3 linked regions of the Mus musculus genome follow. The protein of the gene in region 3 binds, or shares a complex with, the protein of the main gene of each other region. Links are inferred from orthologs where the notes say so. Each region holds a gene or a part of one and is shown on either strand. Other genes may lie near its edges.

What was found. Proteins that work in one complex are often made in the same cells at the same time.
Region 1: Actl6b (region 3) and Smarcd2 share a complex: the UniProt entries of both Homo sapiens proteins name them as parts of the BAF complex. The link is inferred for Mus musculus from reciprocal best matches to the Homo sapiens genes ACTL6B and SMARCD2.
Region 2: Actl6b (region 3) and Dpf3 share a complex: the UniProt entries of both Homo sapiens proteins name them as parts of the BAF complex. The link is inferred for Mus musculus from reciprocal best matches to the Homo sapiens genes ACTL6B and DPF3.

Annotation. Positions count from the first base shown.
Region 1 is NC_000077.6:106,270,173-106,274,134, forward strand, and holds the start of Smarcd2 (SWI/SNF-related matrix-associated actin-dependent regulator of chromatin subfamily D member 2), read right to left. Parts: upstream 2,801-3,962; 5' UTR 2,537-2,800; coding exon 2,321-2,536; coding exon of another isoform or gene 2,261-2,320; intron 1-2,260. Other genes in the region: Tcam1 (testicular cell adhesion molecule 1), read left to right, coding at 3,462-3,479. UniProt on the Homo sapiens protein: Involved in transcriptional activation and repression of select genes by chromatin remodeling (alteration of DNA-nucleosome topology).
Region 2 is NC_000078.6:83,484,937-83,489,039, forward strand, and holds the start of Dpf3 (zinc finger protein DPF3), read right to left. Parts: upstream 2,801-4,103; 5' UTR 2,773-2,800; coding exon 2,741-2,772; intron 1-2,740. UniProt on the Homo sapiens protein: Belongs to the neuron-specific chromatin remodeling complex (nBAF complex).
Region 3 is NC_000071.6:137,552,148-137,556,345, forward strand, and holds the start of Actl6b (actin-like protein 6B), read left to right. Parts: upstream 1-1,398; 5' UTR 1,399-1,487; coding exon 1,488-1,512; exon of another isoform or gene 1,513-1,636; intron 1,637-1,916; coding exon 1,917-1,993; intron 1,994-2,365; coding exon 2,366-2,531; intron 2,532-2,848; coding exon 2,849-2,949; intron 2,950-4,198. UniProt on the Homo sapiens protein: Involved in transcriptional activation and repression of select genes by chromatin remodeling (alteration of DNA-nucleosome topology).

The DNA of each region.
Region 1 (3,962 bases), on a different chromosome or scaffold from region 3:
AAGTCTGCTCACCCCAAGAACTCTAACCAGGAGCCCCTCTGGCCTCAGATCCCAAGACTTGCTGGAAGTTGGACATGGGAAGAAGCAAGCGGGATCTCCTTCAAACTCAACCAATGCTAACTGGGTTCTCCTTCCCTCCTTTCCCCTGCCTTTCCCTGGAGGAGGAAGAGGAAGAAGAAGAGGAGGAGGAGGAGGAGGAAGAGGAGGAGGAGGAGGAGGGGGAGAGGAAACATAGTTGGTATGGGATGCCCAGATTCAAGGCTATCTCCTTTCTCACAACTAGCAGCCGCAGCCATTTGGCTGGCCAGCCTGGCCTCAGCATAGACCCAAGGCTACTCTACAAAATATGCAGGAATCCATCTTCCAGTCTTCAACAGGGGCTTTCCCAATGGCATGTTCTCTATCAGCTGCTTTCCAAGGAAATGGGTCTACATAGTGAGTTACAGGACAGCCAGGACTATATAGAGAGACTTGGAAAACCAACCAACCAAACAGACATCCCCAGTGCCTGTAGGAAGCTTCCAGACCAGCTCTAAACAAGCAGAGCCAAGGGCTGACGCAGAGACTCATCAGTGATATACTAGGCCCATGAATCTCCAAAGAAAGCCACATGGGAAAGATAAACCCCGCTAGTATCCTTGGAACCACGTCTATCTCTGTTTATACCCAAACTCGTCATTTTCTTTTTAGATAGGAGTTGAAATGAAGGGGGTCACTTATCCCCACTCCGACCCCCAGTTAGGTATCTCCTGGGTATCTGATTCCTGGGCTGGAGAGATGGCTCAGTGATTAAGAGCGCCGACTGCTCTTCCAAAGGTCCCGAGTTCAAATCCCAGCAACCACATGGTGGCTCACAACCATCTGTAACGAAATCCGATGCCCTCTTCTGGTGTGTCTGAAGACAGCCACAGTGTGCTTACATATAATAAATAAATGAATCTTTAAAAAAAAAAAAAGAAATCTGATTCCTGGGTGGAATATGCATACATCATGAAGATCTATTTCTGAGACTTCTACCTAGAGACACCAGCAGGGGACAGAGCAAGCTACAGTGCACACCTCTCACCTCTCTGGCACATAGGTTGAGAGACATATGGCCTTGTCAGGAACCTGAGGGATAAGGAAAGAGAGGTTGGGCGTGATAGTGTGTGACTGTAATGCCAGACACTTGAGAGAAAAGAGTTCAAGGTGGGCTTTGGCTACACAGCCAGCCTGGACTATATGAGACCCTGTATCAAAAAGCAAGTAACAAAAGTGACAAGGATGTGGGAGAAGGATGGGCACAATCCCCAGGAAAGGAGGTGCAGCTCCCTGATACAGCAATCGTCTGCCACGTGCAAAGCCCTGCCTGGATTCCATGCTCAGCACCAAAATGCAAAAGCAAAACAAAATTCCCAAACATTCTGGAGCCACTTGAACCAGAGCTCTGGGGAATGAGGAGCGCCACATGCAGAATCAGGCTGAGTTCCCAATGCACTGACCACGGGTCCTGTCTCTGCTTGTCAATGGCCTTTGATGCTGCAACCTGAGACAGCTCTCTGCCAAGACAGAAGGGTCAGGGCAGTACCCTGTGCAGCCCAAGACCAGCAGGACTCCACAAAGCCTCCCTGCTCCTCCAAACTTTACTGGACACTGGCATCAAGAAGGAAAGCCCCGTACAGAGGATATCTTGAATGGTCTGTTAATGGGATCGGGCCTTCTTCAGACCTGGACACAGCTATTTCTAATCTATCCTGGAGTTATCTGGGCCCAATCTCTTTAGTCTCCCATTTCGTAGGAAGCCTGGCTTCCTTCCTCCTCAACTTGAGCAGCTGGGAGCCATCTCAGACATACTAACGCTCTGCCAGTTCCCAACTAGGAAGAAAAAAAAAAAAAAAAAGAAAGAAAGAAAGCCAAGGCAGAGATGCAGTGGGACCGAGGCCAAAGAAAGAGTAACCCTGTTTTCTCACTAACGACCCTCTTCCAAATTTTCCTCACCACATCCCGGGTCACTCCCTCACCTCCACTCCGGGACCTGTCTTACACTTTCAACCTGATTGCCCACAATTCTCTAGATCTCACGAAGCCTCCATCTCTAAGTTACTCGGAGCCAAGAAGCCCCGGGACTCCTCTAACTGCTCAAGCCCTCCACCGCAGAGGGCTTTCACCCTTTCCCCAACACTGCCTCCAACCCCGAGCCACTAACCAAGGGACTCTGGCCTGCCCGCCACCAGCCCTCGACAGTTCCTCCTGCAGTGTCCCCTGGGCCGCCTGTCCTCACCTGAGGCCCCAGGGAGACCGACACAGCGCCCTCGCGGCGCCGCTCGCCTGCCCTCCTCACCTGGTACTGCGCCGCGGGGCCAGCGGGGCCCATGGGGCGGAAGGCGGCGGCCCCCGGTACCCCCATGCCTCCAGAAGGCCCCGGGCCCCTGAGCGCCGGGCTGGGCAGCATTCCGGGTCCCGCAGGCGGAGGCGGCGCACCAAGGGCCGCGGCAACGGCGCCGCCGCCGGGGCTCAGCGGAGGCAGCGGGAACCCGCCCGCGCCACGGCCGGACATCACTCTGTCCCGTCCCGCGGTGCAGCGATCCGGCCTCCGGTCTCCGTGTTGAGTCCGCTCCGCGAGCTACGTTCCGCGATCCGGGACTTCCCGATTTTACTACCGGGTTCCGGGATCTTCTACTCCAAGTTCGCAAGTTCTTTGCAGCCCGGCTTTAGGATCCCGCGGCCCCTCTGACTCCGCTCCTGCCAGGGATACTCCAGATCCGGGATGTGCCGCGAGCCCGCAGGCCTCTCCCGGCCTCCGGAGGTTTGATCGCCGGAGTCCAGTTACCCAGAGGCGGTTACGAACTCCCAGCCCCGCCCAACCTAGACCCTGCAGGCCCCGCCCCTGCCCGGCAACCCAATCGAGAATGCCTCTTTAAATCCCGCCCTCGCGAGACCCGCCTCAAACCAGCACCTCCCATAACTGACGGCCTTAGAGCCCCGCCCTTGGGGGAGGCGGCCTTTTCCCGGAGGAGCGGGAGCGGAAGCTGCACGCGGAAGCGCGGAGGAGAAAGGCGTGGGGTCAGAGTTCGAAGGTCGCGTAGGGCCGTCCGAACTGTTAGGTGTTTGCTGTTTGCTCCGTAGTGCTGCTGCCTCGGCGAGATCCCCGATATGGCCCATCCAAAACAGTTCCGTCAATTCTGCGTCTTCAAGCCTTAAAAATAAGCGATCCGCGGCGGGAAAGCCGCCAACCACTTTTTAAGAGCCCATCTCGGGGCCGGTGGCATAAGGCACCCCACACCCACCCACCCATCTACCCCCAGAAGCCTGTATTGGTTGCTCCGCGCTTCCAAGGACATGGGCGGCCCCAGACGTGACCCAGCTGAGTGAAAGCTTGGCTTGGCCCAACTCCGAGTACTTAACTGCACTAACTTGCCCGTGCCTTTCTTTAAGGAAGCCTGGTAATTCGCAGAAAATGTTTTTAGGTGAAGGGATTTTGCATGCTGAGAGAACTCCAGGTACTGAAATAAGTTTTATCCAGTTTGTATAGGACTTAGTTTTGAAAAGTTGAGAATCAGCCGGGCGTGGTGGCAAACGCCTTTAATCCCAGCACTTGGGAGGCGGAGGCAGGTGGATTTCTGAGTTCAAGGCCAGCCTGGTCTACAAAGTGAGTTTTAGGACAGTCAGGACTACACAGAGAAACCCCGTCTCGAAAAACCAAAAAAGAAAAGAAAAGTTGAGAACCTTTTCAGAAACCACTGGCTTCGGCTATGTTATAGACCTACCCTCTGTCAATGTGGTATCTCCTACCCACGGTATAGAATAGTGCTACTTAACTAGGCACTGAAAATCCTCAGAATCAGGTTGGGGGTGTAACTCAGGTTATAGCGTGCACAAAGCCCTGGGCTTGAACCCCAGACTGCATCAACTACATGGTGGTGCATCCTCAAAATCCCAGCACACAGGAGGAGGCAGGTGGGCCAGAAGTTCAGGATGGTTCT
Region 2 (4,103 bases), on a different chromosome or scaffold from region 3:
TAAGGCATAGCCCTACACAGGGTGGCATGAAAGAAACCCGAGCTGGCTTCTTCCCAACACCGTAACTACTGCTGCTTATCCCCAGGCCCAAGAGGAAATCTTTGTGTGACCAGTTTCTTCTGTAGGGGGCGTCCGTGATGTTGCCTTTTTAAGACGAGAAAGACTGCTTGCACCCGGAGAAAATGCTAATGCAGTTTGGAGCTCCGGTTCATTGTCAGGAGGGGCACACAAGGATAAACACATAAGCTCTCCAAGCCATTCTCCTCACTCCTCCTCCTCCCTGCCCCCCCCCCATCCATCCCTTCAGCTTGCTGGGTTGCTATGCTTTGTTCTAATTTGGCCCATGCATAATTTATTCACGTGTGTTTTGTTTCCTGATCAGCAACTTCTAGAAACAAATGGCATGTATAAGATGTTTTATTAAACAAGTTGTTTTTATAATAATAATAATAAAGCAGATGGCCTCAGTCTCCCGGTAACGATGTGTGTGCTCCTGCGTGCGGAGTTTTTAAAATGTCCAGGGTGCAAATAGCTTGACCGATTGGGGTTATTATTTACACCCTTAGCCCTCAGGGGAAGAGGACTGGATGCAAAAGGGGGCGGCTAATTATAAGTGACCATTCGACTTCCTCTGAGGAAAGGCAGACAGGGGTGTTGTGTGAGCGTCCGCGTGCGTGAGCCAAGACGGAGTTACAAATGCATCCCACGGCAAGTATTTCCAATTATTAAGGGATACAAGTGTAAATCTGAACTAGTTCTATTAACTGATTGGCCACCTTCTAGCTTCTCTGTTCCTTCTCCCCCACAATTTCTTATACATGCACTCTTCTGTGGAAAAAAAAAAAAAAAGTGGAAAGATCTGGGGGACCCAGGAGTGTGGAGCTCCTGCGCGCGCCCGAGCGTAAGCCCGCTCCCGGGCATCAAGGATGCCGCTTTGCCAATGAAGAACCCTGTACACATAGCAAATAGATCTCTCCGACTTGAGTTTACCAAGCAGCATCAGCTCGGCTACGTGATTTCGGCTGGAAATGAGGAAATTGCAAATCAGCTGTGTGTGGGTTCTGGAGAAACTCCCAGCCCCAGCGGTGTGGCGGCGGGAGTCGGCGAGGAGCGGGGAAGTTACGCCCATTTCTTCTGCCATAAAACAATTTCTCTCTTCGGTGAGACGCTGTCGCGAGTGCAAAGTAGCTGAGCTTCCGAACGAGAACGGGAGCCAGGAACTCGCATCAAGCTCAGCCTCCGTCTTTACAGCAATATCTCATGGAAACTCCAAGATCTGGGACATCCCTGCCCTATTCCTGGTTGTTGGCTGGTGCAAACGCAGCGGGTTCTCCCTACGGGTTTCTTGGCACTAGGAATCCCACGCACACTCTCTCGCCGCCGCCCTGCTGCTCCCCAAAGCGAACGGTGTTTTCGACTCCCATAGCCAGGGACGCTGTAGCGCGCAGCTAAAAGAGCCAAGATCGACCACTGACACACACCGGGAAGAATTGGCACTAAACACCCACGCTCACCCTCCGACTCCCACTGGCTTTCATCAGGGCGGGGAAGTCCTAGTACACCGGGCACCCACTGGGTGCCCACGCCGCGCCGCGATTCCCAAGGATCCACCCTCTGCCAACATGCCTGCCAATAGCGCCCCTTGAGAGCCACACTAGTTTTCCGAGGCCACCCCCGGCTCCGCGATCACCCGCGGACTTGCGGCTTCATATTCAGTCCACCGACTGGAAGAAGGAAGGAAGGAAGGAAGGAAGGAAGGAAGGAAGGAAGGAAGGAAGACCGGCGGGCAGGCAGCTCCGATCGGGAACCGGCCCCCGCGAGTCCTTGCGCAGCCCGCCCCCCTGTGTCCGCTCAAAGTCTCCGGGAGGCACCTGCCCCTCGCTGTCGCCAGAGCCCTCCACCGCCGCCTCCACCGCCTCGGCTTTTCACCCAGAGCAGGCAAGCACACCATTTATAAGACCTGCAGTTTCCCTGCCTCCATATCAACCCCAAGTTAACCCGGATCGTTAATTTACTAGAGCCAGTTAGCCTACAAATACACAGACACACCGGCGACCGCCCGGAGCGCCTGCCTGATCCCCGGCTGCCGGAGTGGAAAAGCCCGGGGCAAGCACCTGGGCCCCAGGACTCCCGGGACCCGCCGCTCCGCGCGCTGTCCTCCCAACTCCGGAAGGTTTACACAAACTCCCTGCGAGAGCTCGGAAGGCAGAGCGAACGCCCTGCAAAACTCCGCAGCCGCTGCGGTCCGTCTGCCCGCCTGGGTGGACGAGCAGCGGGGCCGGGAAGGTTCGGGCTTGGAGTGCAGGGCTCAGCCGAGCGCACGACGCGGTCTCTGCCCCGCGCTCCGGCCAGGCTCAGCCAACCCCGCGCTCTGGCCAGCCTCAGCCAGCTCCGCGCGGCGCCGGGAGAGGCAGGGGACTCCGAGAACCGTGAAGACCCGGGCTGCTCACGACCCCCGCAGCTCCTGAGCCGGCGCCGCCGCTCTGTGTTCCCTCCCGGTCCCGGTCAGCCAATTAAGCAGAACACAAATGTAACAATTTTCTTTTTGTTAATTGCATCTCCTGACATTTCTGCGCGCTGGGAGGAAAAAAAAAGATGAAGAAGTAAGAGCAGGAAGAAAAGAGGAGCCCGGGCGCAGCGGGAGGTGTCTGCGAGAGCCGGGCGCCGGCTGCGCTCCACAAGGCGCCTTTTTTTCATATTGAAACCACGCGGAATATGTACATTTTTTAGTCTTACTTACGCTTTCAGGGGGTTGTGAATGACAGTCGCCATTTTGCTACAATGTAACAGAATATTGTCTGTCTCAGAGTTCTAAAGGTTCGCTCAGGGGAAGCGGCAGGCCAATCAGAGCACGGGATACCGGCCTACCGGCCAATCGGCGCGGCTGGTCGCCAAGTGGGCGGGGCCTGCGTGGTGGTAGTTATTAGGGGAGCTGTCAAAGCCCAGAGGTCACTCCCTTTTGTAGAGCCCGAGAGCGAGCAGGTCTTAAAGGGGCAGTACCGTGTTAGTAGCGCCCTTTTAGATTGGAACTCGTGGAGACAACATGGGAGAGCATTCTCGCTTAGTTGGAGTCCCTACTTTGCTAAATAACTGCAGAGTTTGCGCTCCTGGACAAGAATATTTACATAGTGCCAACAAAACCACTTAACCCCATTCATTAGCTCTGGGCTTTGTAAATCACGGTTTTTAACCCCCGAGCTCCTTGTACACCACCGTGTTGCAGTGCAAAAAGTTGGAAGGCTGCAGTTTCCTCCAAGAAATTACTACTCGTGTTCCACTGTTTGCTAATAATGTTCTGGGTTCCGCGGCTGTTCAATATTCTTGTTCCCGAAGTGTTTTCTTGATCTCAGCCACCTTCCCCGGGCGGTTTCTGAGAACTGGAGAGTCCAGGACAGCAACTCCCTTCCTCCTGGAATGTCTCAGTGTCAGGCTTGCGGACAGCCACGGCTTTTGTTACGTAATTCACGGGTGGTCACTCCGCGCGGTCCCCTACGACCACCGTTCTCCACTGTCAACGATTCACACTGATCTGACATGGCCAGCTTGGGAGCGAAGTGAGACCTGGCGCTTTTTAGGCAGAAGGTTGGGGAAATTTTGAGGCAACTTTAGGAAACGCAGCTAGGGAAGTCAGTAACTATGCAAAAATTGTTAGAGCCTGAGGTAGGTGTTGCCTGAGTCCCCTCTGGGAACGGCTCTGAGAATTCAGGCGTCACCTTTCTGGACTAAGATAGGAGGTGAAAAGAATTTGCAAGTGAATGTTCAGACGTGACTCCTGGCTTCCCCAGTATGCGGCTGCTCAGAATCTGATAAACCCCAGAAGAAACTGAGAGACTTCTGCGAACTCAGACTTCCACGGAGCACAGGGAGACTCGGAGTGGGCGAAAACTCATGAAATCACTTAGAGGGCACAGGCATCGTTAGCTTATAGAAGCCGGGCTATGGCCCCCTTGGCTGTTTAATCAGGTCAAATAGCTGGGGGCTGGGAAGTGAAAAGGAAACCGAGAGATGCTGAATTGCAGTTCACAATTCCACCTGCTCTCGCCTTTTACGACTCTCGATGAATAAAGTAAAATACAATTACAAAGCAGTCCAGAACTTTCAGA
Region 3 (4,198 bases):
ATCTTCCCCAGGGAAGAACAAATCAGTACAAAACGGTCATCCCTGAAATCTCACGGCTGGAAAGGTGGCTCAGTGGTTAAGAGCACTGGCTGCTCTCTTCCGGAGGCTTTGGGTTCGATTCCCAAAACACATGGTGGCTCACAACCATCTGTAATGAGATTCGATGCCCTCTTCTGGTGTGTCCGAAGACAAACAGCGACAGTGTGCTCGTGTACATAAAATAAATAAATCTTTAAGTATATATACATATATATTATAATCTCAAAATTTAGAAATAGTAAAAAAGAAGGCTTGCTAGGTTAGCCAGGTGACTATATGTTAGCCATGAGCACTCACATGTTTATTATATGTTATGTACAAAGTCAAGAAGGAAAAATGGCCATCAGAAAGATGAAGGAAAGGGGCTGGAGATGCGGTTCATGTCTAACATGCTGAAGGCCTGGGTTCCATCCCCTGACCCTCATAAACTGGGGTGTTGGCATAGGCTTTGTAATCTTAGTACCCAGGAAGTGAAGGTAAAGAGACCACAAGTTCAAAGCCATCCTCATATATATATTAGTTTGAGTTTGGGCTACATGAGACCCTGTCTTAAATAAAAGAAAAGCCAGTTGTGGGCTGGGCAGTGGTGGCGCACGCTTTTAGTCCCAGCACTTGGGAGGCAGAGGCAGGCAGATTTCTAAGTTCGAGGCCAGCCTAGTCTACAGAGTGATTACCAGGACAGCCAGGACTACACAGAGAAACCCTGTCTCGAAAAAAAGAAAGAAAAGAAAGAAAGAAAGAAGGAAGGAAGGAAGGAAGGAAGGAAGGAAGGAAGGAAGGAAGGAAGGAAGGAAGAAAAAGGAAAATCTAGTCGTGTGCTGTACTGGAGGCAGCGGCATGGAAATCTCTCTGAGTTTGAGACCATTCTGGTCAAATAAATAAATAAATAAATAAGCCCAGAGACAAAGGTAAAAAGACACAGGAAGAGATGGAGAGGCATACTCCTCTGGTCCCTCAGTCTTCTCATCTCCTCATTTCTGTGATTGCATTTAGACTGAATGCGGTAGACTCTGGCTCAGGAGTCTGAGGATGGACATCTCTGGTTGAGAGGAGACCCCTCCCTCACCTACGTAAAAATATGAATAAATAAAAAAGACCAAGAAACGAGGGTCCCATGTCATCAGAAGGTCCCATTCCATCCGTTGCCCTGTGGAGTCCTCGTCTCCATCTCTTTCCTCTTTTCTCTGTGTCCATAGTCTTTGCAATTGGACCCTCGCCTCCTCCCAACCTCGGAATGAAGAAGCGGCTGTACCTTTAAAGCAGCGGCCCCCAGCCGGGTTATTGTCTCGCTTCATAACCAATCGGCCGCGCCGTTGGGGGCAGGGGATCCAGTGTTCTGATTGGCCGCCGCTGCGCCCCGCCCCGCCCGGGATCCCGGGAGCTGTCCGGCCGCCTCGGTGCTGATCCCGCCGCCGCCCACGGGCCGCGAGCAGCGTAGAGAGGGCACTATGAGCGGGGGCGTCTACGGCGGAGGTGAGCCGGCCTGGGGCACTGGGCTCTCGGCCTGGTCTACAGCCCTGCATCCCGAACCCGCGCGTCCCAAGCCCTGAGCATCCCTGGGCCTGTCACCTCCGTACTGCATCAGGTCCAGTCTGAGGTTTGGGTCTCCCACTACTTCTGCTTTCCATTCTCTTGGGGTTCCCAAGTGTACACTGCCTCTCGGGCCCTGGACCTTTCTTTTCCCTGCCAGGCCGCTAGGCAAGAGGGAACTCTGGTGGCTTTGACCCTCTACTTCCAGAACGCCCTGAAGTCCAGGTGGATCTCCCACCCACTCCCCGCTGAAGTTTAAACTGTGGCTATAACCCCAGAATCCTCTCCAAGCTATATAGGGAGACAGTTTGGGAGAGGTCTCCTCACAAGCCTGTCTCCTTGCACAGATGAGGTGGGGGCGCTCGTCTTTGACATTGGCTCTTTCTCAGTCCGAGCTGGGTACGCTGGGGAGGACTGCCCCAAGGTGAGCCTTCCAGTCCCCTCCCCAAATCCCAGGGGCTCGGACACCCTCTGCCAGGCGGGTCGGCCTATGAACAAATGCGCACAGGTCAATTCAAGTAGCTCACCTGAGTGGAGACAGGGGAAGGACCCCGGGGGTGGCTGAGGGCCTTGAGTGCAATTGAACCAGGGACTAGCAGGGATGATCCAGCTGGGCAGGGTAGTGCGTTCCTTTAAATCCCATCACTCTGGACGCAGAGACATGCAGATCTCTGTAAGTTCAAGTCCAGCCTGGTCTACAGCGACAGTTCCAGGCCAGCCAGAGGTTCACAGTGAGAGCCTGTCTCCAAAAAAGAAGGGAATAATCTAGCTCCCTGCTCATGTTCCTTGTAACCAGGCTGACTTCCCCACCACTGTGGGGCTGCTGGCCGCAGAAGAGGGGGGCGGGCTGGAGCTGGAGGGGGAGAAAGAGAAGAAAGGGAAGATTTTCCACATCGACACCAATGCCCTGCACGTGCCTCGGGATGGAGCGGAGGTCATGTCGCCCCTCAAGAATGGCATGAGTAAGGGACCCTCACCCACTACTTTCTGAAACAGACTGGGAGCCCCACGCCCAGTGTGTGGCTGCCGATCTCCATACCCACAGAACCTTGCTTGCTGCTGCCCAAGTCCCAAGGGTCTCACTGTTCCCTACAACTGCTGGGATTTCAGACCAGTTCCCCTAGAATTCTGGAACTTAAGGGGGGTGGTGCTTGTAAGCAGAAGTTGGACTCACCTACCTTCAGACTTGGCCTCCCTCCTTCCTTTACTTCCTGTCTCTGATCCTTGCCTTCCTTCCCACCTTCCCATCTATCTCTCCACGCTGGTCCTCTGTCCCTAGTTGAGGACTGGGAGTGCTTCCGAGCCATCCTGGATCATACCTACAGCAAACATGTCAAGTCCGAGCCAAACCTGCACCCAGTACTCATGTCGGAGGCTCCGGTGAGTGCCTCATCCAGACCCACGTCCAGCCCTGAGTCCCTGGAGACACATCCTTTCTGCCATCACCTCTAATGTGGAGTCGCTACTATCTGTCACTTCCCTTCCCTTTCCAGATTCGTCCTGCTCACACTGTCATCTTCTGTCACCTCCCTTCCTCCCTGGCTTACCCTCCATCCCGCCTTCTCTCTTCCAGCTCCATCCACTCCATTGCCCTGCGTTGTTCACACACACATTTTTTGGTCCATGTTATACATATATATGAATATTACCAATGTAGCTAAGTTGTGAGAGATCTTGCCTGGCATGCAAAAGGTTCTGGGTTCAAGCCTCGCTACTGAAGGGGGGAGGGGAAGTTACAGTTGTAATCCAAGCACTCAGGAGGTAGAAGCAGAAGGATCAGCAATTTAAATCAATATTCAACTACATAGTGAGTTCCAGGACAGTTGTGACTACATAGAGGCAGCCACCAGTTAACAATAGGTCCTCTGCTAGGGGTAGGATTTAAATGGATCATTTCATGCTAGGATTTCAGTTTGGATATATATATATATATATATTGTTTGCCCGTTTTATTGTTTGTTTGCTTATTTATTTGTGTGTGCACACACACATATGGCAAGGGACAAATTGCAGGTTCTCTCCTTTCTCCTGTGTATTCTGAGATTAAACTCAGGTGGTCTTGCTTGGTGGCAAATGTCTTCACCTACTGAGTTCTCTTGCCAGCTCCATTTGTCTGTTTCTGAGACAAGCTCTCCCTGTGTAGCTCATGCTGGCCTCAGACTTGAGATCCTCCTGAGGGCTGTGCTGACTGGTGAACACCACCAGATCTCACCCTATCCATATTTCTAAACATCACATATGTGCAATGCCCATGGAGACCAGGAGAGGACATCAGAGCCCATGGAACTAGAGCTAGAGGCCACCCACTGTGGGTGCTGGGAACTGAACTCGGGTCTTGCCAAGACCAAAGAGTACTCTTAACCACTGAGCCATCTCTCCAGCCCCTTTCTGTGTTTGTTTGTTTTGCTTTGTTGTTTGATTTTTTTTTTTTTTTGAGACAGTGTTTCTTTGGGTAGCCATGGCTGTCCTGAGATTAGCTTTGTAGACCAGGCTGGCCTTGAACTTACAGACATCTGTCTGTCTCTGCCTCCTGAGTGCTTGGATCAAAGGCATGTGTTACCATTGCCTAGCTCTCTGCATTTGAAAAACTGACATATTATTTTTGGTATGTGTGTGTGTTGTTTGTGTG